2 linked regions of the Tamandua tetradactyla genome follow. The protein of the gene in region 2 binds, or shares a complex with, the protein of the main gene of each other region. Links are inferred from orthologs where the notes say so. Each region holds a gene or a part of one and is shown on either strand. Other genes may lie near its edges.

What was found. Proteins that work in one complex are often made in the same cells at the same time.
Region 1: the proteins of CCND1 (region 2) and AMBRA1 are in contact, whole or in part, in a cryo-EM structure (PDB 9IVD), measured with the Homo sapiens proteins. The link is inferred for Tamandua tetradactyla from reciprocal best matches to the Homo sapiens genes CCND1 and AMBRA1. Residues at the interface, in NP_444284.1 of Homo sapiens: Thr286, Pro287, Thr288, Asp289, Val290, Arg291, Val293, Asp294, Ile295; in NP_001354397.1 of Homo sapiens: Arg54, Ser55, Phe57, Val73, His75, Arg96, Thr97, Trp99, Leu116, Ala139, Arg184, Ile945, Asn1012, Asn1029.

The regions. Positions count from the first base shown.
Region 1 is NC_135334.1:123,311,982-123,322,488, reverse strand, and holds the start of AMBRA1 (activating molecule in BECN1-regulated autophagy protein 1), read left to right. Parts: upstream 1-5,544; 5' UTR 5,545-5,765; intron 5,766-5,950; exon of another isoform or gene 5,951-6,251; intron 6,252-10,507. UniProt on the Homo sapiens protein: Substrate-recognition component of a DCX (DDB1-CUL4-X-box) E3 ubiquitin-protein ligase complex involved in cell cycle control and autophagy.
Region 2 is NC_135335.1:4,929,103-4,939,222, reverse strand, and holds the start of CCND1 (G1/S-specific cyclin-D1), read left to right. Parts: upstream 1-6,039; 5' UTR 6,040-6,273; coding exon 6,274-6,471; intron 6,472-8,040; coding exon 8,041-8,256; intron 8,257-8,832; coding exon 8,833-8,992; intron 8,993-10,120. UniProt on the Homo sapiens protein: Regulatory component of the cyclin D1-CDK4 (DC) complex that phosphorylates and inhibits members of the retinoblastoma (RB) protein family including RB1 and regulates the cell-cycle during G(1)/S transition.

The sequences.
Region 1 (10,507 bases), on a different chromosome or scaffold from region 2:
AAATTGAGGTTTTTCACAACTTAATTCACTTGATAGTGACATGTAGCCTTAGTGGAAGGAACAATCATGGAGAAGTTTCATAAGCAATTTCAAGTCTGTCACACACCAGAGATATTTCTAAGTTCTGAACTGACTGAACGCTGACTGGCAGTGCTTTTCCCTAATAATTCCATTAGGGAGTTATTTTTAATAATAAAAATTTATTATTAAAATTATATATTAATAAAATATTTTAATAATTTTTAAAATAATAAAATTAACATTTTATTCCCTGATAATTCCATTGAGTAACTCTTCAAATCTACAGTTTCAGGTTCCTTTAGGCCTAGATTTTTACAGGCCATGATTTTTTTTCAGTCCAAAATGCTTTTTCCAAAATGCTCTAGAGAAGAGGTCAGGTTCTGTCCTACTAAATCGTCCAGGGTCTGTGCATAGGGGCTTTTTACAAGTGCCTGAGAAGACTCCTCCCCTTAAAGTCCTTAGTGTACTTTTATAGTCTCTTCCTGTATGGTTTTGAGAAAAAGTTAAGGATTTTGCCTTTGTTGTAAAAGTCTCTTTTCCACAGATCACTTCATCTGGCCAACAGGAATTTTCCAGATTTACCTTTAGATATTTCAAGTTAGAAAGATAAGGCTATATTAAGGGAAAACTATAATATTGGCTCAAACCACTGATTTACCAATTCTAAATTATACAGAATGGGAACCATAAACAGATTCTTAGTTTAAAATGAACTGAACAGAGGTGGAGTTCCTTCCCTTAATCTTGGACTGAAAGGGATTATAGCAGGTTAAATTAATTTAGGGGTGAAAAACAAGACAATGTTAATGGGGTCATATAGTGAAGACATGTAAGAGGCAAGGAGGGGGAAATAGACACCACACTTAATGATTTTATCCCTGCCTGAAACACAAAGCCCTTCTAAACTGAGAACAGCTCACGAACTGAGCTTAGTATCAGCCTTCCCTGGCAAAGGAGGGGCTTTTAGGAGGAGGACAAAAGACTCAGGAAGAAATCAGGGGGTCTTAATATTCCATACGCGTATGTCCTCAAGGCTCATGATGCTCTCTAGATCCCGTAAAGATTGTCCACATTTTGTGGAAATAAGAGACTATTGATTATAGGAATGGCAGTGCAGGAAGGAAGAAAACTAACTGAGACCTGGGACCACTTCAGTTACCCTACACATAAAAATCACAGGTTTTATTTTTACATGGCTACAACATAAGGTTCTTTGTGATAACTGCATTTGGCAGATGAGATCTCAGGATACTCAGCAAAAGAAAGGAAAATAGACCTGGAAATCAGAAATTGAAAGCAAATTTCAAACAACTATTTGAAAGGGGTTATTTCTATTTGCTAATGCTGCTGGAATGTAATATACCAGAAATGGGTTGGCTTTTACAATGGGGAATTATTAGCTTACAAATTTATAGTTCTAAGTCCATGAAAATGTCCAAATTAAGGCAGCAACAGGACAATACCTTCTCTGGAGAAAGGCCTCTGGTATCTGGGATTCTTCTGTTACATAGGAAGGCACATGGCCACGTCTGCTGGTCCTTCTTTCCTGGGTTGTGTTGCTTTCAGCTTCTGGCTTCAGTGGCTTCCTCTCGGAGCTTCTGGGAATCCTCTCTTAACTTCTTCAGGGCTTGTATCTATTAGCTTTTCTTAGTTTCATCTCTCTTAAATGACTCAGTTGAAAGGATTAAAACGTACCATGAATGGGGTGGTTCACATCTCAATTGAAATAACCTAACCAAAGATCCAGCTACAACAGGAATGGATTTAAATGGATTTAAAGAACATGGCCATTATTGATAATGATTCATTATTTTGGGGGGACTGCAACTTTCTCTAACCATTACATATAGTACCATCTTTTATGGAGAAGCTGATTTCTTTGCCATTCTGGACCTTAAAATGTTCATATATTTCAACTCACTGATAAACTCCATCAGTGGAAATTTATTGAATATAAAAATTCCAAAGAAGGATGAACCTCTTCTTACTCGGCTGTCAATGGTTTCCTACTGTTCTGAGCTTTCTCCCCCTCCCTGGGCTGCTCCCACATCACTGCAACTGCATTCCCTTTTACCATTCCTGCCCAAATTGTACATTATCCTGCAGCACAAAGAGCCACAGCTAGGGAAGAGCAGAGTAGAATTGCAACAGCAAAATCTACTACTGGCTCATCATTTTGACTAGGTCTTAAAGCCAAGATCTAATTCTTCTTCCTGGAATACCTAATATGACAGCTTTACACAGCTATTTCACCCTAGGTTCACATCTGATTTCTACCACCTGGAGTGCAGTAGAACTAGTATCTCAGAGCCCAGAGCCAAAATAGCAGATTCCTATCCCTCTGCTCCCCTTCCCCAACAATTGCCCGGGCCAACTTACCTAAATCCTCTCTTCCCGGTTTGGTCTTTCCATGTGATTGACATTAGCAAGGTCCATTCTTACAGTGATCAGCCATCCTGGTTTGCCTAACACTGTCATGGTTTAACACTGAAAGTCCTGTGTCCTGGAAAATCCCTCAGTCCTAGGCATGCTGGTCAAACTGTACTGGTCACGGTACTTCAGGGGGAGCACCTTCCTACCCTGAAGGGGGTGGCTCCACTAAAGGAATCCTATCAGAACTCAGTAGTCAACAACCAGCCCAGGAATTAATTATTGAGTCTTAAGTAGGGCATCAGTGGTATAGCCCAGGGTACTTTTTACCTCTGCCCACTTGATTTCTTTTTTCAGTCTTCCTCCTGTATGAGTGCATTACTGTAGCTTTGGGGGTTTTCAATTCCTCATCTCTTGTGAAGAACCATTTCGATCCATATACTTATCTCCATAAGAACAAGCAATGGTTTGCTCTCACACTGAAGTTTAAGTCCACGCTTAAAAAAAAACAGTTCTCTAAAGGAAATTTATCTGTTAGAGGTACAACTCTGCTTGCAGAATTAACCATCTTTTCCATGGTCTTAAGATCAGTCTAGGTTCATAGAGCCATAGCTTCTCAAATATCTCCATTTTCAGACAATTATTTTAGATTTATATTACATCCTGATTTCCCCAGAATGAAAGTCTCCAGCTTTTGAAAACCAAAAACTTCTTGTAACTTTGAACTTGGTTTCTTTAGCCTTTATCACTGCAGTCAAGGTTCAAAATGATGTAGTTATTTGAGTCAGGCTTGAATCAGAGCTGAAGCCCTAGACGCTTATGTTCCACAAGTTTCTCCAAGAAGAAAACTTATCTAAAGCATAATCTTAGATTGGAAACTCAGCCCCCGGAAGGCTGCAAAGGAAGGTCTATTTGCCTGCCCCTCATATGGTTCTAGGAATGTTACTTGACTTTAGTGGGAACATGGCTGCCCAAGATAAAAACTAATTCCCAGCTTCTTTTACACTTAGGCATGGCTATGTGACTAAATTCTGGCCAATAGGATACATGTGTAAGAGTCCTGTATTATTTTCAGGATGTGTCCTTAGTGCTAGGAGACATGCCATTCCTCTTTTAGCTTCCTTCTGGTCGGAATGTGGACATAATGGCTGGAGCTAGAACAGTTATCTTGGACTTGAGGTGGAAGCCACTAATTGAGGATAGCAAAGTTACAAGACAGAAAGAAACTCGCCCCTAATTGCTATATTTATCCTATGCTGTACATCCCTGGATTTCTTCTCCATGACAGAGAAGTAAAACTTTACCTGGGATAAGTTACTTTTTTGTTGTTTGTGAGAAAAAGCCTAAACATAAGGTTATATAACTGCCTTTTTTCCAAGTGCAGCAATACCTGTTACACAGAAAATCTTTGGATGTAATGTAAATATTCAACAATGGGGAGTAGGTATTTGTCAGTATAACCTCTCAGTGGAATATTGTGCAACCATTAATGAGGACATCTATTAAGTACTTCAACAGGGGAAATGATAAAATACAAAACAATAACACAATTATATCTGTGCTTAAATTAAACTTTCAAAATTATATTTCCAAGGACTGTTTGGGGACATGAACACTTAAGAATTATGCATTTTGGAAGCAGAGTTTCTTTGTTTAGACTTCCATAAAGTGTTGCTATATTGTTTACTTGATTTAAAAGTTCTCTAAAACAGTGGTAGCCAAGTGTTTGACCTCATGGATTGCATATTGTGGATTTTTGGTGTTACCCTGTAACTACTGCATCATGTATCTGGGTTGTGACTTAAATGCTTTCACTGACTAAAAGGAGGAGATACAAAAATAACATTAAATTGTTAAAAAAAAAAAACACAAAAAACTAATGCTGTTAAGTATGTGTACTTTTACTGTGATTAGATTATAAACTCTTTTAGGGCTAGGACTATCTTGTTTCTTTTTTACGTTCCGTCCTCTCCAAGTTTCATCCCTTTTCAGGAGGAGATGGGGTAGACTGTTATTGCTCACATTGGTAATCAGTATTTGTAGGGATCTATGTGATTTATTGAATTGTGCCTAGTATGAACATATAAATCCATACTTGTGTTGAGTATATTATTTTGTTTACTAAGATTACTGAGAAAGGCCATTGTTGTGATGATGAGAAAGTCAATACACTTTATCATGTTCTAAACCCAAAGGCTTAAAAAAAACATTTTACTTAGAAATAATTTCAAATTTACAGGACAGTTGCAAAAGTGATACAAAACCCATACAGAAAATTCCAATATAGACCCTACCCATATACCCAGATTTACCAGCTTTAAATATTTTGCCACATTTGTTATGTCATTCTACTGTCTACTGTCTATTTATCTAATCTATTTTGTAAACATTTGAAAATAGGTTGCATACATCATTCCACTTGAAAACCTAATACTTTCATGCATATTCTTAAGAACAAGGATATATGCTTATGTAAATCACATTAAGTACAGTTATCAATGAATTCAGAGACTTTGGCCACTGTGTAAGAAGCACACCTGTGGTTCTGTGGTAGGCTCAGGGGCCAACTAAATCAATATGTAGCCCTTTAGAGGAAAGTAAAAGGGAAAAAGCAGTACTGGAACTGCTTAATGGAGCTTTTGTATAGGTGATTCCCTTTGCTCCTCAGTCTAGATTCTCTCTCATTCTGTCTCTGCCTCTGTGTCTCTCTATCTATATATACTTATTCTGGCGAATGTGTTACAGAATGTTAGGGCTGGAGAAAACTCAGGACTCATTCATTCACCACAGTGTTCCATGAAAAAATAAGGGTCAGAAGAGGTGATTTATCAATTGGGATAAGTAGCTGTTGAAAGTACCTAAGGTAGTTACTGAACCAGTTAGACAAGAAAGGCTATTGAGCTATGATTTGCTCTTCAACACTCTCAAGAAAGACTCCAGTTCTCTAAACAATTTAGTGGGCAACCGACACATAAAAAAAATGGCAGAAACACCGACTACTTAACTCCAGGGCTAATGATCTGAATTTGTTTACTTTTGCCTTGAACAGGAAACAGATTTTGAATTGGAGCCAAGCAGTTTTTCGGCGCTCGGCGGCGAAGCCTTGAACGACCGCCTGGGCTCTCTTCCATTGATGTCTGGGACGTTCGTGGGTTCGGTGATCCTCTGCGCCGTCTTCTGGGTTGATGTCTCCTGAGCCGCAGCGGCGGCGCCCGGTCGAGGGCTGAGTTACCCGCGAGGCACCGCGCTCAGGCTGCTTTCTCCCGCCGGTCGGTAGAGCAGATTCCCTGCTTCCTTCCTGCCTTCTCCGTCTTCCCTTTTGTGGCCCAGCCCACCCGCCTGGCTGCAGACCGCGACCCCCGCCCGTCTTGCAGGTAGGCCCGGGAGGAGCCTGGAGGCCCGGCATCCTTCGGCCGCGGGCGGAGACCTTGGCGCCGGCGGGCGGGCAGCTCCGGACGCGGCCGGAGGGGCGGTGGGGAACTGAACCGAAAGGAGGGAAAGATGCTGGGGCTGCCCGAGGTGGCTCGGGAGGGAGGGCGTATGTTGGGTCTAGGGCGAGCGTCGGCACCCATGTGTTTGGGGGGAAATCGCTTTCCAGGAACGGATAAAGCTTTGCGCGCTTTGACCCTCCTTCTGTTCTCCTTTTCCCTCTCCTAAGGTTCCGGGTGTCATGACTCAGTTTGCAATGGGGACCCTCTCTGAGTTCGACCTTTGAAGGGACGCTTGAGTAGGTGAAGGCATGTGGAACAAGGTCCTGTGAGCCAAGTGTCATGTTCTCGCCTATTTTGGGTAGGGAAACTGAGGCTGGGGTCTGGGACGAGACTTTTCCCTATATCCTCGGGCAGATCTTTAAAGGCACCGTAAGTCTCTTTTTGTCACTTACTAGTTTATTTTTTACCCCATTTTACCAGTCACTTTATGCATACAGTGATGTGTCGTTTAGTTTCCTATGATCCCTCCCTCCTGGGAATATAGATGCTGTCACTGGCGACTTTAGAAGTAAAGGGTCCATTTGATCTCTTGGCTCGTTTTTCTTTTCAGAGACTCAGTCATTTTACTGCGAGTAGCAATGACAGTTTCTTGGTACATAATTTTGTTTGCTGTCCAATTTGCTTTCTGGCGGATACGTTTTGCTTCTTCCTTTCAACTTGTTCTTAGTGAAAACTTTCAACTATGGTGTTTTAAGTGGTCAGTGTCCGACAGAGGAGGATCAAGATTTTGAAATCAGATGTTTGTCCTGTGAATGTTTGCTTTCTAGGAAGTATACAAAGGAAATCCAAGGATTCCCTTTCGAAATGGTTTGATCATATTTGATTTGTGGTTTAGTCATTCCATATAGTAGAGATAAAACAACCTGTGTGTAAAAATCATTCAGATATTTAGGCATTTAAATTAGTCAACATTCTAGGGACTCCATTATGTTTCCATTTGCTCTCATAATTTAGAAACTTTGGGGAGTACTGTAAGTATTCTTACTCATTTTATTTTCATGGGATTCAGTGTCTGTGATCCTGGTTTGTGCAACTTCTTTGCTGAAAATAATAATCAGCCTAAAATTCACTCTAGGTTATGTTCCCATAGTATGTAGAATTAATAAGAGAATGCTCTTAAGAACAGATTAGAGTAAAAGTACTGGTCCTTGGATGGAAACTATACAAGTCTGTGTTTCTGCACACTTTTAGAATTCTCATGGGAAGTTTGGAAAGGTTTTTTTGTTCCTCTGATTTTTGGGGAGGTTGGCAAGAACGATCATGAGCCATTTTCTAGTTGCAGGGACCCCAGTGCTTCCAGGAAAGAATTAGTGAAGAGCCACCAGACTATTTTTTGGAGAATCTATATTGGGAAGTTAGTCTTCCTTTTTGAAAAGAAATTTTTATGGCAGAGAAGAATTTATATCAGAGGAAAGAATTTAGAAAAGGATTAATAAGTTGTGTATAAAATTCAGAGTTACATGTGATATTTCAGTGGCTCTTAATAAGTGCTAAATAATAAGTGGAGATTGCTGTGAAGTCACAAAGAAATGTTAGGAAGCTTTTGTTATGTTCTATAGAAAATGATCGGCAAATGTTTGAATTGAGGAGAAGTAATTTGGTGATGGTGGGAGGGTTACAAGGAGAATTTATTAGGGTCTTCTCTGCCTTATGAAAGAAATTCACTCACCTTTTAACTTACTTGGTCAAATCTTGTATTGTTTTGTCAGTGCCAGGTTGGTTTCTCTTCTGGCATTTACTTTCAGAAATATAAAGGGTCAGAATATGAGTATATTCTCTTTTATTAGGAGAGTTCTTGGGGATTACTTGGCCTGGACTGGAGTTATGTATATCACTCGAAAACAATGTCATTTTTATTAATGAATAAAGTTTATGCTGTATATTTTCAATATGAGTTAGGAAACTTATGAAACTGTTTTGGCCTTGTTCCTTTATGCTGCTTATTAATACTGCATCTAAGCATTTATGGTTTTCAGGGAACTTGGTGATTTAGTGACAGTTTAAATTGACAAATTTGCCTCACTCTTCCCATATTATGATACAGCACTTTCTCCTCTTAAAGAAATTGGACAAAACATTATGTTGTTAGCACACCGAGGTATCTTTTTCCAACATATGCCTAATTCTTGATAGTTATTTTGAGATTGGGTGCAAACTTTTTTGCTCAGTGGTTTGGTTTATAGAAACAAAAAGAAAAAAACAAAACTTAAATTCCTTTAATCATAGGGTCATTCTTGTTTCTTTCTCCAGTTGTGTCTCATAAACCCCGAGAAATCTTTGTTTCTTGCCATACTTTCTGATTGTGCAGAAGTGTTATTTACAACCTGTCCTGTGGTTTTGGGGAAAATTTATATCTTTTTTAAGCTTCTTTCTTCCCAAGTTAATTAGATCCATTTTTTTTCTATTTCTTTTCACAAAGCTAAAATTAGTTACTAATTAAAGATAAACATTTTGTGGTAAGTTATTAACAGAAGGTGTTTTACATGTGTAGTTGTATATGGCAGCCTGCCAGTGGGATGTGAAAAGAAAATAGATTAAGGAATCAGGAGATCTGGGTTTAAGTCTTAGGCTTAACAGCTTATTTGTTGAGAATTCTTGTAGAACCACTAAGGAGGATGTAGGGAAGGTTATTGTTGTTATTGAGCATTTACTGTGTCATGCTCTTTACATGTGTGATCTTATTTCGTACTCATAACAGTCCTCTGGGGCCGATATTTTTTCCCCCATTGATACTGAAGCTCAGAGAGGGTAAATAATTTGACTAAGATCACACAGCCAGTGTGTAGTACTGCCTTGGATTCAAATCCCATCCAAGCTAGTGAACTTCATATTATGATGCTTTTCTGGGTATATAAGGAATGGGGAAAAAAATTAGTCATAATATTTCTTCTGAGAAAAAGTGCGTGAAATGGTTTAAAAAAGATTAACAAGGTAGAAAAAGCAAGGTAAAAAGATTGCTATTCATATGTTAACATCTATGCTATCTTACAACAGTTGACCAATGTCATTTAGGTTCTTTGGCAACTTGTTGCTTTCAAGGCAGCATCATGAAATGATGCCAGACAATCATGAAAGATAGAGGTAGACAGACATTAAACCTGCACTGGAGGAGGAGCTTACTAACATGTATGATGAAGGAGTGAGTGCTAGAAAGTGCCCATGAGAGAGAGTGGTTTTAGGTGCTGCACTGAAATGGGGTGAGACTGAGGGTATTTACCACAACTCTTCTGGTAGTCCTGGCTTGTGGATCTTTAGATTAATTTGTTCTAGTATACTAAGTAGCTTTCCTAGGTTATCCTCTGTCTCTTCCTTTGCTCTTAGAGTTGATAGTTTTCACTAATCTACCTAAACTTCTTTTCTTCATTCTGTATTGTGCTCATGTGTTTTTCTGAGTTATGAAATATCACTTTCAGACCTTCTGGAATTATTTATTGACTGTGACTTGTATGTTTCAGCCCTTACCTATTCAAGCTGTTATTCATCTAGCAGATACTTAATGAGTACTCATTAGATACTGAGATAAAAAAGATAGACAGGATAGTTTTTTGCTCTTGCAGAGTTTATTCCAGTGGGAAACAGATCACCAGGTGTTTGTTAAATAATGAAATTTAGGTTGAAATCAATGCACTGAATAAAGCAAACTGACAGAGAGAGGGGTGAAGAAGTGGGAAGGGCACCCAGTCTTTGCTGGGATTGAAGACTTCAATCATCACTTCTTAATCCACCTAAAAAATTGCTTTCACGACATACCATGATTCAGGAAATTCTTCTGCTGCCATCACAATCGATGTCTTCATTTCAGACTGCTGCATGTAATATTTGCCTGTCACTTAAAGTATGATGACATAGTAAAGAATAAGTATGACTTATAAAGATCTATATTGCTTGGCTGATGAGTTTACTATTTTAATTCTAATGTAATCTTAATGTAATTAATTCTTAATGTATTTAATTCTCATTTATTAATTTTCCCAAGTTAACTATTTTTGAAAGTTGAGTTCAATTAATTTAGATGCTGGACACATGCTTTTAATTGCATTTGTGGCAGAGAAGAAAATAAGTACTTAGCCTTACATAAGGGAATAGACTTAGGAGAATTGTGAAATTGAGAGGGAAAATGTAGGCTTTTCCTGAATGTGTGTATAGTATTACCTATGGTCTTGTTTGATGTTTTTTCCCCCCAAGAAATGCAAAGTATTTTGCAAACATTTTTTGCTGTTGCTCATTGGAATTATATTTCTATCTGTAGGATGAACGGAAGCATGTTTCACATTTCATGATTTATTTCTGCTCCTCAGGATAGAATATATATCCTCCATGAACCAAAATTAGTGTGTTTTAGGACCAAAATAGTATAGCATCTGAAATCTTGTTGAGAAGGAGGGGCTTAATTTTCATGTTTAATTTGGGAAGAGGATTAGAACATTTTAGTCTAGCTGACCAGTGACAACAGGGCAGAGAAATGTGTCTTTCCAAATTCTCGAATAACAGCATGGGGCACTGACACTAAAAGCTGGGGAGCCTAGTTTCAAATCCCAGCCCCACTACTTACTAACTGCAACTTGGGCAAATTACTTAACCTTTTTGTGAAGAATATGAGAATTAAATGAATGAATGTATATAAA
Region 2 (10,120 bases):
AAGTGCTGGGGGAAGCGGGGATGCCCTCCAGGCCTGCGGGGCTGGGAACCGTCTCTCCCCAAAGGGGTCCAACGGAGCTAACCACTTTGGTGGCTGCCTGACAGTTGTGCCTCGTTGCTTCCAGCGGTGTCACTGACCCACGAGTTTGCTTGCGACTGCTGGTCCCTTCCACTGGAGCAGAAACTGGTCCCTATTACGTGAGGGGGCCCAGGCACCGTCTGAGACTCGCTGGGCCCACCCCGAGACCCCGGAGAGCCTCAGACAGTGGGCCTCGCTGTCCCAGCAGAGACCAGCCCTGTGGTTTCTGCCCTTTGTCCTGGTGTCGCTTCTCCAGCCCTGGATGCCTGTGTTTCTTTTCCATTAACTTTTAACAACTTTTGCAGGGTGTGGAGGCAGAGGAGTCAGGGATGAAGGAAGATGAATGTGCTTCGCCTTTTTCAGAAATCCGCTCCACGATCTGAGTCTCCCGTCCACAGCTCAGAAGTGAATGAATAAAAGCAAGTTTATAGATTAGAAAACCATTTGAAAAGTCCTCTTTCTGAACATAGCCAGATGTTTAATTCTGCATTCAGCATGCATCACACGGCCACCATGCCACAGAAGGACAAATTGACGAAGGAATAAATTTAGTGGCAGGCGTTACCTTAACTCCTTCCGGCCTTGCCTCCTCGGGGATGCTATGACACCCCATTTCACAGATGCAGATAGACACCTGGGAAGATGGCACAGCTACTGGAGGATCTGGGAATTCGTGTGAGTCCCTTGCACTGTTTTCATGGATAGTGTGGCAAACTTCTCGGCATCTTGAAAAAGAAGCGGCTTGGTTTCACCTGAATTCTTGAGAAAGCGGATTATCATTGTGATTTGCTTCTAAGAAACCTGGATCTGTTCTGACACAGAAGTGGTGGTTAAGCGTGTGGGCTCCGACAGCCATGCCATCCCTATGCCAACCGTGTCAACCTGGGCAACGTACCCCACCTCCCCAGGCCTCAGTTTCCCCCACCCATTAAATGGGCTTCCTGAGGCCTTGTTTTGAAGATTGTGTAAAAAGGACGTTTGTCAAAATGGCTTGCCCAGGGCAAACACTTTGTCCAAGTGAGGAGCGAGGCCTCTGTGTGGGTGGAAGCTTTTTCTCCCAACCCCACAAGACACAGGCTTCGGAGAAGCTGGACACTGGTCCCTGACACTAGGCCCTGCCATGTGGTCAGGAAGTCGACACTTTGCCTCCAAGTGATTGCAGGGGGAGCCCCCTGTCCAAGCAGGGAACAGGGAGATGCCTTCCTGAACCTTCTCGAAATCTCTCCCACCTGCCCAAGCCTGGGGCTTCACAGAGCACCAGGGTCCCCGTGGGTGGGACCCCGAACTTGACCTGGCCATAAGCTCAATTCTTTAACTTAAACTGACACTCAGAAAAAAGGAGAGTGCAAGAGAAAAAAAGACCATTCAAGACATAAAAAATGTAAGTATTTTTAAAAATACTTATAGCCATCTTAAGGACTTTTTCCTATTTGATTAGGATCCTGCTTCCTAGTTGCAGGATACGTTGGCCTGAGCCACGGAATGATTTTCAATAACAAGGAAAAGAAGAAAACTGTCAGGCGGCTGGAGCTCTTCCGCATTTCTGTCCCTCCTGGGAGGGTGTAAGTGTCACCGGTCAGTTCTGTCGCGGTTCTCAGGTGGACGTTTCTCAGCCTTTCACTGATACCAGTGGGTTACAATAGGTTATTACGCCGGCAGCACAACTCTGCTTAGTACGTAAAAGAGCAATCCCTCCGGGCGGGGCGGGGACCGGCTGGGCCCGCAGGCGGGACCTGAGCGTCCGCGGCCCGCACGCATTAGGTTCTCCAGCGCTCGGAAGCCGCGGGTGCGCGCCTTCTCCAAGCCTTACGGTAGGCGCGGCGCGCAGGGCAACCACGTGGCTGGGGAACCGCGGCCGGGCGGGAATGCGCGGAATGCAAGGCGCGTCCCCGCTCGCTCCCAAGCGGGTCAGAGCGGCGCGCGCGCGCTCTCGCCTCCCGCGACACCCTGGCCTGGCCGCCCAGCGCTGGCACCCGACAGACTGAGCCCTGCGTGGGGCCCACGGCAGGTTTTGGGGGCGGAGCGCGGACCGACCGACCCCTCGGGCCCCGCGCGCCCAGGTCCCCCTAGTGGATCCCGGACCCCCGCCCCCGCTGCCAGACCCCGACGGCGCGGGCCGGTGGGAACCCAGGGGAGGGATGCAAGGCCTTAGCTTTGCAACTCCCCTGCCCCCGAGCTTGGGAAAAGAAAGCTCCCTCCACATCCCCGTCCGAGAAGAGTGTCGCAAGCCCCAGAAGCCGGAGGCGCCCCTTATAACGACCCCGGCCGCCCCTCCATCCATCTCAGGGGCCGAGGCAGAGGCTGAAAGCGCTCCGGGGCCAGATCTGGGGCAGGAGGAAGACGGCTGGAAGAGCGCGGGGTGCGGGGCGCGCGCGCCTTGGAGCCGACGTCGGGCTCGGCGCGGGTCCTCCGCCTGGAAAGCCCCGCTGCGGAGTCGCCGCGGCCGCAGGTTTCCGAGACCCCCGCGGGTCCCCGAGCGGCGCCCTGCGCCCCTCGCTTTAAGTGTGGGTGCACCGAGGCCGTTACCCCCACCCCACCAGATTTCTTTGCCTTGGTTGAAGGTGGTTTACTGGGCGCCCACTCCCCGCCCCTTTTGGCCAGGAAAGGCCCAGGGGCCTGAGTCGTGAGCCCCAGGGAGGGGGGCGTTCCTAGTTGGCTTTGGGGTTCTTATCGCTCAGGGTGCCGGGCGTGGAGGGAGGTAGAATTTTCTTTGACCCCCCCAAGAGTTTGCACCTTTTCCCTTGGGATCCCAAAGATGTCGTTGGGCCCCAGACCCCCAGTGTGACCTGCCCAGGTTCGCTTTAACTCGCGCACAACTCGCCCGCGGCCGTTAGAGTTGGGGGAGTGGGGGCGGGTACCCGAGTTGTCCGAGGGGGCGGGAGCTGGTGTGAGACTTAGGCGGAAACGTACCCCCGCAGCTCGAGGCAGTGAGGTGGGGGTGGGGTGCGGTTACCCGGTTCCCAGCGTACGGCTACCCTGTCCCGCAACGTTGAGACGCTCGGGGACCCGCGCCGCGTAGGCCTGGCCGAGCTGTTGCAGCACGTGGCCAACCGCGAGCACCCCAAAGCGAGCAGCTTTGGAGAAGGGGAGCCCGAGCGCCCCCGGAACCTCGCGGCCGGCACTCGGAAGCATTCTACAGCGCTACTTAAGGGCTTAACAATGGAAAACTCGCGGGGCGAGAGCCAAGTCCTTTCAAGTCGCCGCCAGGTATGCGGCTGCAGGTGACCCAACCTGGGTGCGCCCGCCCGCTAGCCCGCCTTCCCGATCCTCCCGGAGGAGGACGAGTGCCCCTCCCATGGGTTCATCACCCCACTCCCCAAAGCCCCCTGTTGAGTCGGTGCGCAGCCGCGGTGCGTCCCAGGGTCGGTCGGGTGGCGCGCCGGTTCCTGAATGAACGCGCTCCCTTCCCCCGCTGAATGGAGGTTCCCACAGCCAGGGACGGTGGCAAACACGTGTCTGCCGCGGAATTCGTCCTCTCGGGGCCGGCAATCCGCCCCAGCAGCAGTCAACGGCGTGGGGGACCCGGGGGCAAGGAGAGCGGGAGGCGACTTAAGTTACTTTTGGATTTTCTTTCAAACCAACCTGGTTACCCTCCCGTTTGGGCCACCGGACCTTTGTCTCCCAAATGGTCACCATGAAATAAGCATGGAGCACTTTAAACAAGTTCAGAGTTCGCAGTTCCTGCTTCGTGGTGGGTTTTAAAAAGACAGTGAGAAGTTGAAACTGCAGGAGAAAAGTTTTTGCAAAGTTACTTTTCTCTCTTCGGAAAAAAAGAAATGAAAATCAAAACGCGCCCTCGGCTCTCCTCTAAGCGATCGCACCCCCCCCAACTCCCACCCCCACCCCCCAGGACTCGGAGCTATTGGTTCCCTCGGGAGACAGGGGGTGCCGCTTAGCAGGGCTCACTGGGATGGAGGCTGGGCGCTTGGCGCTCCCCGCCGAGCCCCAAATTCCAGGGCCTCCCCCGCGTGTTCCTGGACGGCTCTTCACGCTTGCCCGCGGGGCTTGCACTTTTGCGCTGGTCCCTGAGCGGGGACCTCAACGAAGTTGCTGGTCGAGATCTGCCCGGTCCGCCTAGTAACAGCGCCGCGCCCCCATTGGCTCATGCTAATTCCCGTTTCCTCTGCCTTTCTCCCGGCTGGGTAGGGGGGAGCTCCCTGCTGCACCCGGAGCCCGTTTTGCCGGAGTGGGCGATCCTTTTTCTGCGCCGCTACCCGTCGCCGTCGCCGACCGGCCTCGCGCTTCGGGCCCGGCCGGGGCGCACGCGGGGGCTCCAGCCCGCGAGCCCCTGGAGACGGGCGCTGTCCGGCTATAGCGCGCGGCCCCATAAATCACCCGGGCAGCCGCCGGGTCCGGATTTTATGAATGAAAAAGCAGCCTCGCCGCCTTCGTGCGCGGGCCGTGGCTCTGCAGGCTCGGCGGTGCCCGGGGAGGGGGGACGGCGAAGGGTGCGCCGTGCTGAGTCCACCCTCCGCTTTGAAGGCGTGAGCCCGGGTAATTACCCTCCCAGGACCCGACCTAATAGTCACCCTAATTCCCGGATGGGGGGGGAGGGGCGCGGGAGAAATCTGCCCAGCAGGGTGGTATCTGATCTCGCCGCGTGCACCCCTTCATCCGTTTTTTTCTGAGCTTTTACTGCTAGGGATGCAGTGGTTTTACAGCACTCAGCTATATTCAGAGAGAAGTAAATGAACAATTTTCCTAATTTGAGGCACACTGTAAAAACTGTAAAAAAAAAATGAGATGGAGAAATTCTTTTTAAAGGCACCAAAGAGACGGTCTATACTTAATTAAAAGCACTTTGTGTATTTTATTGTGGATTCATCTTTCTTCAGTTTGAGATGATATGGAGGGCCCTATTGTTATAACCGTGGTTTGGTTAAAAAATCATCAATCAATGCACCCACTTTTTAAATTTACAGTTGTCCTGGATTTACCAGCCCCCTGCCGACCACCGCCTCAGGCTCACGAAGGCGGTCCCAGGGCAAATTCTAATGGTGAGGGGCTGTCCACTTGCCCTTCGAACGCAACTAGAAAGTTCCGGTGGTCTCCTGGGTGGAGAGGCGATTGATATTTCCAATTATTTAATTTCTTTTTCAATTAAAAAAAAAAAAGATGAGGCAGGACAGAGACCACTGCTTTGCAACCTTCCATTCAGAGGTACTGATCTCCCTGTTCAAATGCCGGAATTGGGGTAGGCAGGGGGCATTTGGAGACCCCGCGAGGATGGGCTTGTCAAGGTGGGAGAATGCCGCACATAACCCGGCCAGGAGGACACAGGATGAAGGAAATACTGGCCACCATCTTGAGCCGCTGCTGGAATTTTCGGGGATTTATTTTATTTATTTATTTTTTTTGCGTGAGCCCAGGCGAGGCTGAGATAGGTTCCTTTAACTTTTACCGAACCCTCTTAGGCATTTCTATAAGTGCCTCCCGGGGCGCCGGAAAGAAGCCTCAACCCGGGCTTGCGCCCTGCCCGGCGTCCTGGCATGGTAAAGAGTTCCTGAAATTTACACGTGTTAATGAAAATGAAAGAAAATGCAGAAGCGAGATTGCTCAGCCGTCCCTCCGCCCGTGGGTGCCCTCGTGGCGCTCTCCCGGCTCGGTAATAGGGTGTCGCCGAGCCCCAGACCCTCCTCCATGCGGTCTCCCCCGACTGCGTGTGGCCTGCCCGCCCTCCTAGTTGACCCCCTCTGCAGCGCCATCCCCACCCCCCCACCCCCAAATCCCAGGGACCCACATTAGCAGAACGGGCGCCCCCTGCACCCCTCTTGCCCGGCAGGGAGAAAGACGGCCGCGGGGTGATTTGCATTTCTATGAAAACCTGGCTTCGGGGGCAACTCCGCCGCGGGGCAGGCGCGGCGCCTCCGGGATGGCTTTTGGGTTCTAAGCCCGCGCCCCCTCCCCCTGCGCCCGCCCCCGCCCCCTCCCCCTCCCGCTCCCATTCTCTGCCGGGCTTTGATCTCTGCTTAACAACAGTAAACGTCACAGGGACTACAGGGGAGTTTTGTTCGAAATTGCAAAGTCCTGGAGCCTCCAGAGGGCTGTCGGCGCAGTAGCAGCAAGCAGCAGCGTCCGCCGCGCTCCTTGCGAGGGCCAGAAGCCGGCGAGGGAGCGCGGGGCAGGCAGGAGACGCAGCGCGCGCGCCGAGCCCGGAGCCCACCGCGTCCCAGGCCGCCGAGCAGAGCCGGCAGCATGGAACACCAGCTCCTGTGCTGCGAGGTAGAGGCCATCCGCCGGGCGTATCCCGATGCCAACCTCCTCACCGACCGAGTGCTGCAGGCCATGCTTAAGGCCGAGGAGACCTGCGCGCCCTCCGTGTCCTACTTCAAGTGCGTGCAGAAGGAGGTCCTGCCGTCGATGCGCAAGATCGTGGCCACCTGGATGCTGGAGGTGCGTGGCTGCTGCGAGGGGAGGCCCATTTGAGACTCCTCAGCAACGTGTTGCCCAGATTTCTTTGCCCCTCGTCTGTTCGCCCCACTGTCCCACCCCGGCTTTGAAGTTTGCCGGGGTGTTGTCAGCAGTCGGTAATTTCCAAATAAATCGACAGCGTGGGTAGTTTTTGAACGAGGAAGAAATGGGGGTGGGGGCGTTAGAAGTTCCCTTTCCTCCCGGAGGGGGGTCGGGCGAAGGGTGCCTTCCGGGGGAGTCAGTGCCCGGGGCACCCCAGTGAGCCCGAGGGTGCGGGTGGGCAGGCCGGGCGCCTTTTGTGCCCCCCTCCTGGGCTGCCACCGCGCAGCCCCAGCCTGCGCCCGACTTTTCCTGCGCCGCCTCTCTCGGCCGCTTCGGTCCCGAGCCACCGGCTCAGGGAAAAGGGGGTATAGATTTGATTTTTAAATTAATATCCATGTACACGTATGCAAGGGCCGCCCGTGCCAGTATTATGCGCCATCTTTGTTCTTTTATTGCAAAGCAAAAGTGTTTATTAATAATTGGGGGGAAGGTGGGGGCGGGGAGCGGCCGGCAAGGCGCTGGGGCCGCCGCGAGGGGCCGCGCGGTCCGCGGAAGGGGTGCGGGGACGGGTCGCTGGCAGCTTTGGGGGGGACCCCGCTCGGGAAGGGGGCCCCTTTTGTTCAGGCGGCGAGCCCCGGGGCGCCCCGCAAGGCCAGCCTGGGCCGGAGAGCACGCCGGGCTGCAAGGTCGCGTGGCCCCTAAGATGCCCGGTATTGACCCCCGTCTGTCTGGGTGTCGGCTTGGGGGTGCTGCCCAGAGCGAGCCGGGGACCTGGGGCACATTTTCAGGCCTCCTGGGGACGCCTAGGGGGCCGCTAGTATTTTTAAATAATTTTTGAAAGTGCGGTGTGCTGCCCTCGCGAGAGAGAAGCGGAGCCCGCGCCTAGGGGGAGGGGGGCCCCCGAGTTTGAATTCCTGGGGCTCTCTGTGGAGCCTGCGACGAGCTCCCGAAGCCTGGACTGGGTAAAGGACCGCCTGAGGGTCATTTTCAGGGGGGTTTTATGTGGCCAGTTTTTTTTTATATATTTTTAAATATTTTTTGAAAAGATGACGTCTGGGGAAATGCGGCGCGGCGGCCTGGGACGCCACCTTTGTGTCTCGCGGGCGCGGAGAGCACGGCGCCCAGCTCTACGGCCCAGCACCCCATTTAGTGGCGGACCCCAGGCCAGGCGCGCTCCCGGACCCCCACGCGGGCCGGGGTCCCCGGGGCCGGGCACACCGCACCACCGCGCGCGCCGCAGCCCTGCCCGCTCGTGTCCAGACTATGCCAGCCTCGCAGGGACTTTCCCTTTCAGTTTCGGGGTGGGTGTGTGGGTGCCCGGGGCACGCCGGGGAGGGGGCGCATCATGGGGAGCTCCTGCCACCCCCTGCCCCGGCTCTCTCGGCGCGCGGGAACCGGCCGGCCTGGGCGAGCGGGGTGGGGGTGCAGGGTGGCGGTAAAGGGGTCCTGCGCGTCCCGGCGGCGGCAATCACGGACTCTCCCCCACCCGCCACCCCGATACCCCGGCAGGTCTGCGAGGAGCAGAAGTGCGAGGAGGAGGTCTTCCCTTTGGCCATGAACTATCTGGATCGCTTCCTGTCGCTGGAGCCCGTGAAGAAGAGCCGCCTGCAGCTGCTGGGAGCCACCTGCATGTTCGTAGCTTCCAAAATGAAGGAGACCATCCCCCTGACGGCCGAGAAGCTGTGCATCTACACTGACAACTCCATCCGGCCAGACGAGCTGCTGGTACCCGTGGGGTCCCCCACCCACTCACCCACCCACAGCCACCCCGTGAACTGCAGGCGGCAGGGGTCCCCCGCCCGGCACTGACAGGCCGTATTCCCCGAAGGAGGGCAGCCACACTGTCCCGGAGCTGCGCTTGGAGGAGGAGGAGGAGGAGGAGGCGGTGGGGCCCCAGGCGCCCCGAGTCTTCGCCACCCCCACCCCCACCCCCACCCGCACCACACTTTCCCTGCGGCCCACTTTAGCGCCCCGCGGCGTGGCCGGTAAATGGGCGGCGCGCGCCCTCTTGCGGTGGCGGCGTGCGCTGGCCGCCCGCTAATGAATCAGGACTTTTCCTTCCAGATGGTGGGAGGTCTTTTTGTCTCCACTTGCAAATAGTTGGCTTAATGGGAATGCGAACAGGAGCCGTTTCACGCGGCACCTTCTCTGTTTTGACCTGAGCCTTGCCCCCACTTCCCAGATCCCTCGACACCCCACCCCCACCCCCAGGGCTGCCCCCCAAACCAGGGTGCTGGCTGGGACCCTCGGCTGACCGTTGCGCCCCTTTCTGCCTTGCTCCCCTCCACCCCGCGTGCCCAGCAAATGGAGCTGCTCCTGGTGAACAAGCTCAAGTGGAACCTGGCCGCGATGACCCCGCACGATTTCATTGAACACTTCCTCTCCAAAATGCCCGCGGCCGAGGAGAACAAACAGATCATTCGCAAACACGCCCAGACGTTCGTCGCTCTGTGTGCCACAGGTAGGGGCGGGCTAGCGCCCACCGTGTGCTCCCCGGAGGGTCCTCAGGCAGAGTTGCCGGTCGCCCGCCGCCCCTCCTTGCTGGGTGGCCGCGTGGCCCCAGGGCCTGGCTCCCTCCCTCTGAAATGCTCCCCAGGCCCCTCCTGCTCTCTGGCAGCGCCCCTCTTTCTCCGCCGGAGTGAGCAGGGGGGTTTGGGGTTGGAATCTTTGTTTGCCCGGAGGGCAGGACCGAGAGGGAGGTGTCGCCCTCTCCAGGGGTCACGCCGCTGAGACTGACCGTGGCCACCGTCCCGTGCCTTGGTGCCCCGTCCAGCTGCGCTCCCTGGACTGGGCAGGCCTGGCCGTGGCCGCTCCATGCTGGAAGGGGTTTACCTTGGCGTCCGGGCGGGCCTCCTCCCCCACCCCACGTCCAACCCTTCCCGTGTCCTCAAGGAGCCCAAGCTGCGGGCCCCCTCCCGGCCTCTCCCGGCTGGGCCACCTGCCAGGGGCGCCTACGGGGCGGGGAGCCCCAGCGGGCCGGCAGGGCCTGCACCACGTGCTCGGCGCCGCGCGCGCGCGGGGGCGGCCCGCTGAGCGCCACGGCTGGAGGCCCCGCCAAGGGCACAGCCCTGGGGAGGGGCTTGCAAGCTGGCCGCGAGGGGCCCAACCCCCGCCTCCCCGGGCGGCTCCCGGCCACCCCGGAGCCCTCTCCCGGGCACAGACCCGCGCCGGGCAGCTTCTGGGAACTTGGTGCATCAGCGCCCGCAGTCTTGCTCCCTCTGGCCCCCTAGTTCCCCTTGACCACTTTCCTTTTTCCCACCTGGGTAAGGAAAAATGACCCCCTTGGTGGAGGGAAGTCCCCACCCCCCACCCTGCCCAGCTCTGCCCTGGCCTGCCTCTTCCCAATCAGGCCTGTTTCCACATCTTTTTTTTGGGGGGGGGGGGGCGGCACTCTGGGGGACTTGAGGACCAGGAGAGGGGGTGGCATCAAAGACACAGTGGGGAGGGAGCAGCCGGAGTCTTCTACCTCCCCCAAAGACTCAGAGCCCCCAGCCCTGGCCTCCGTGCTGTCCCCATGGTTGATACTCCAGAACCCTTTTTGTTTTGGAGGCCAGTTGGGGAGATTCTTCTGCTCCCCCCACCCCGCCAC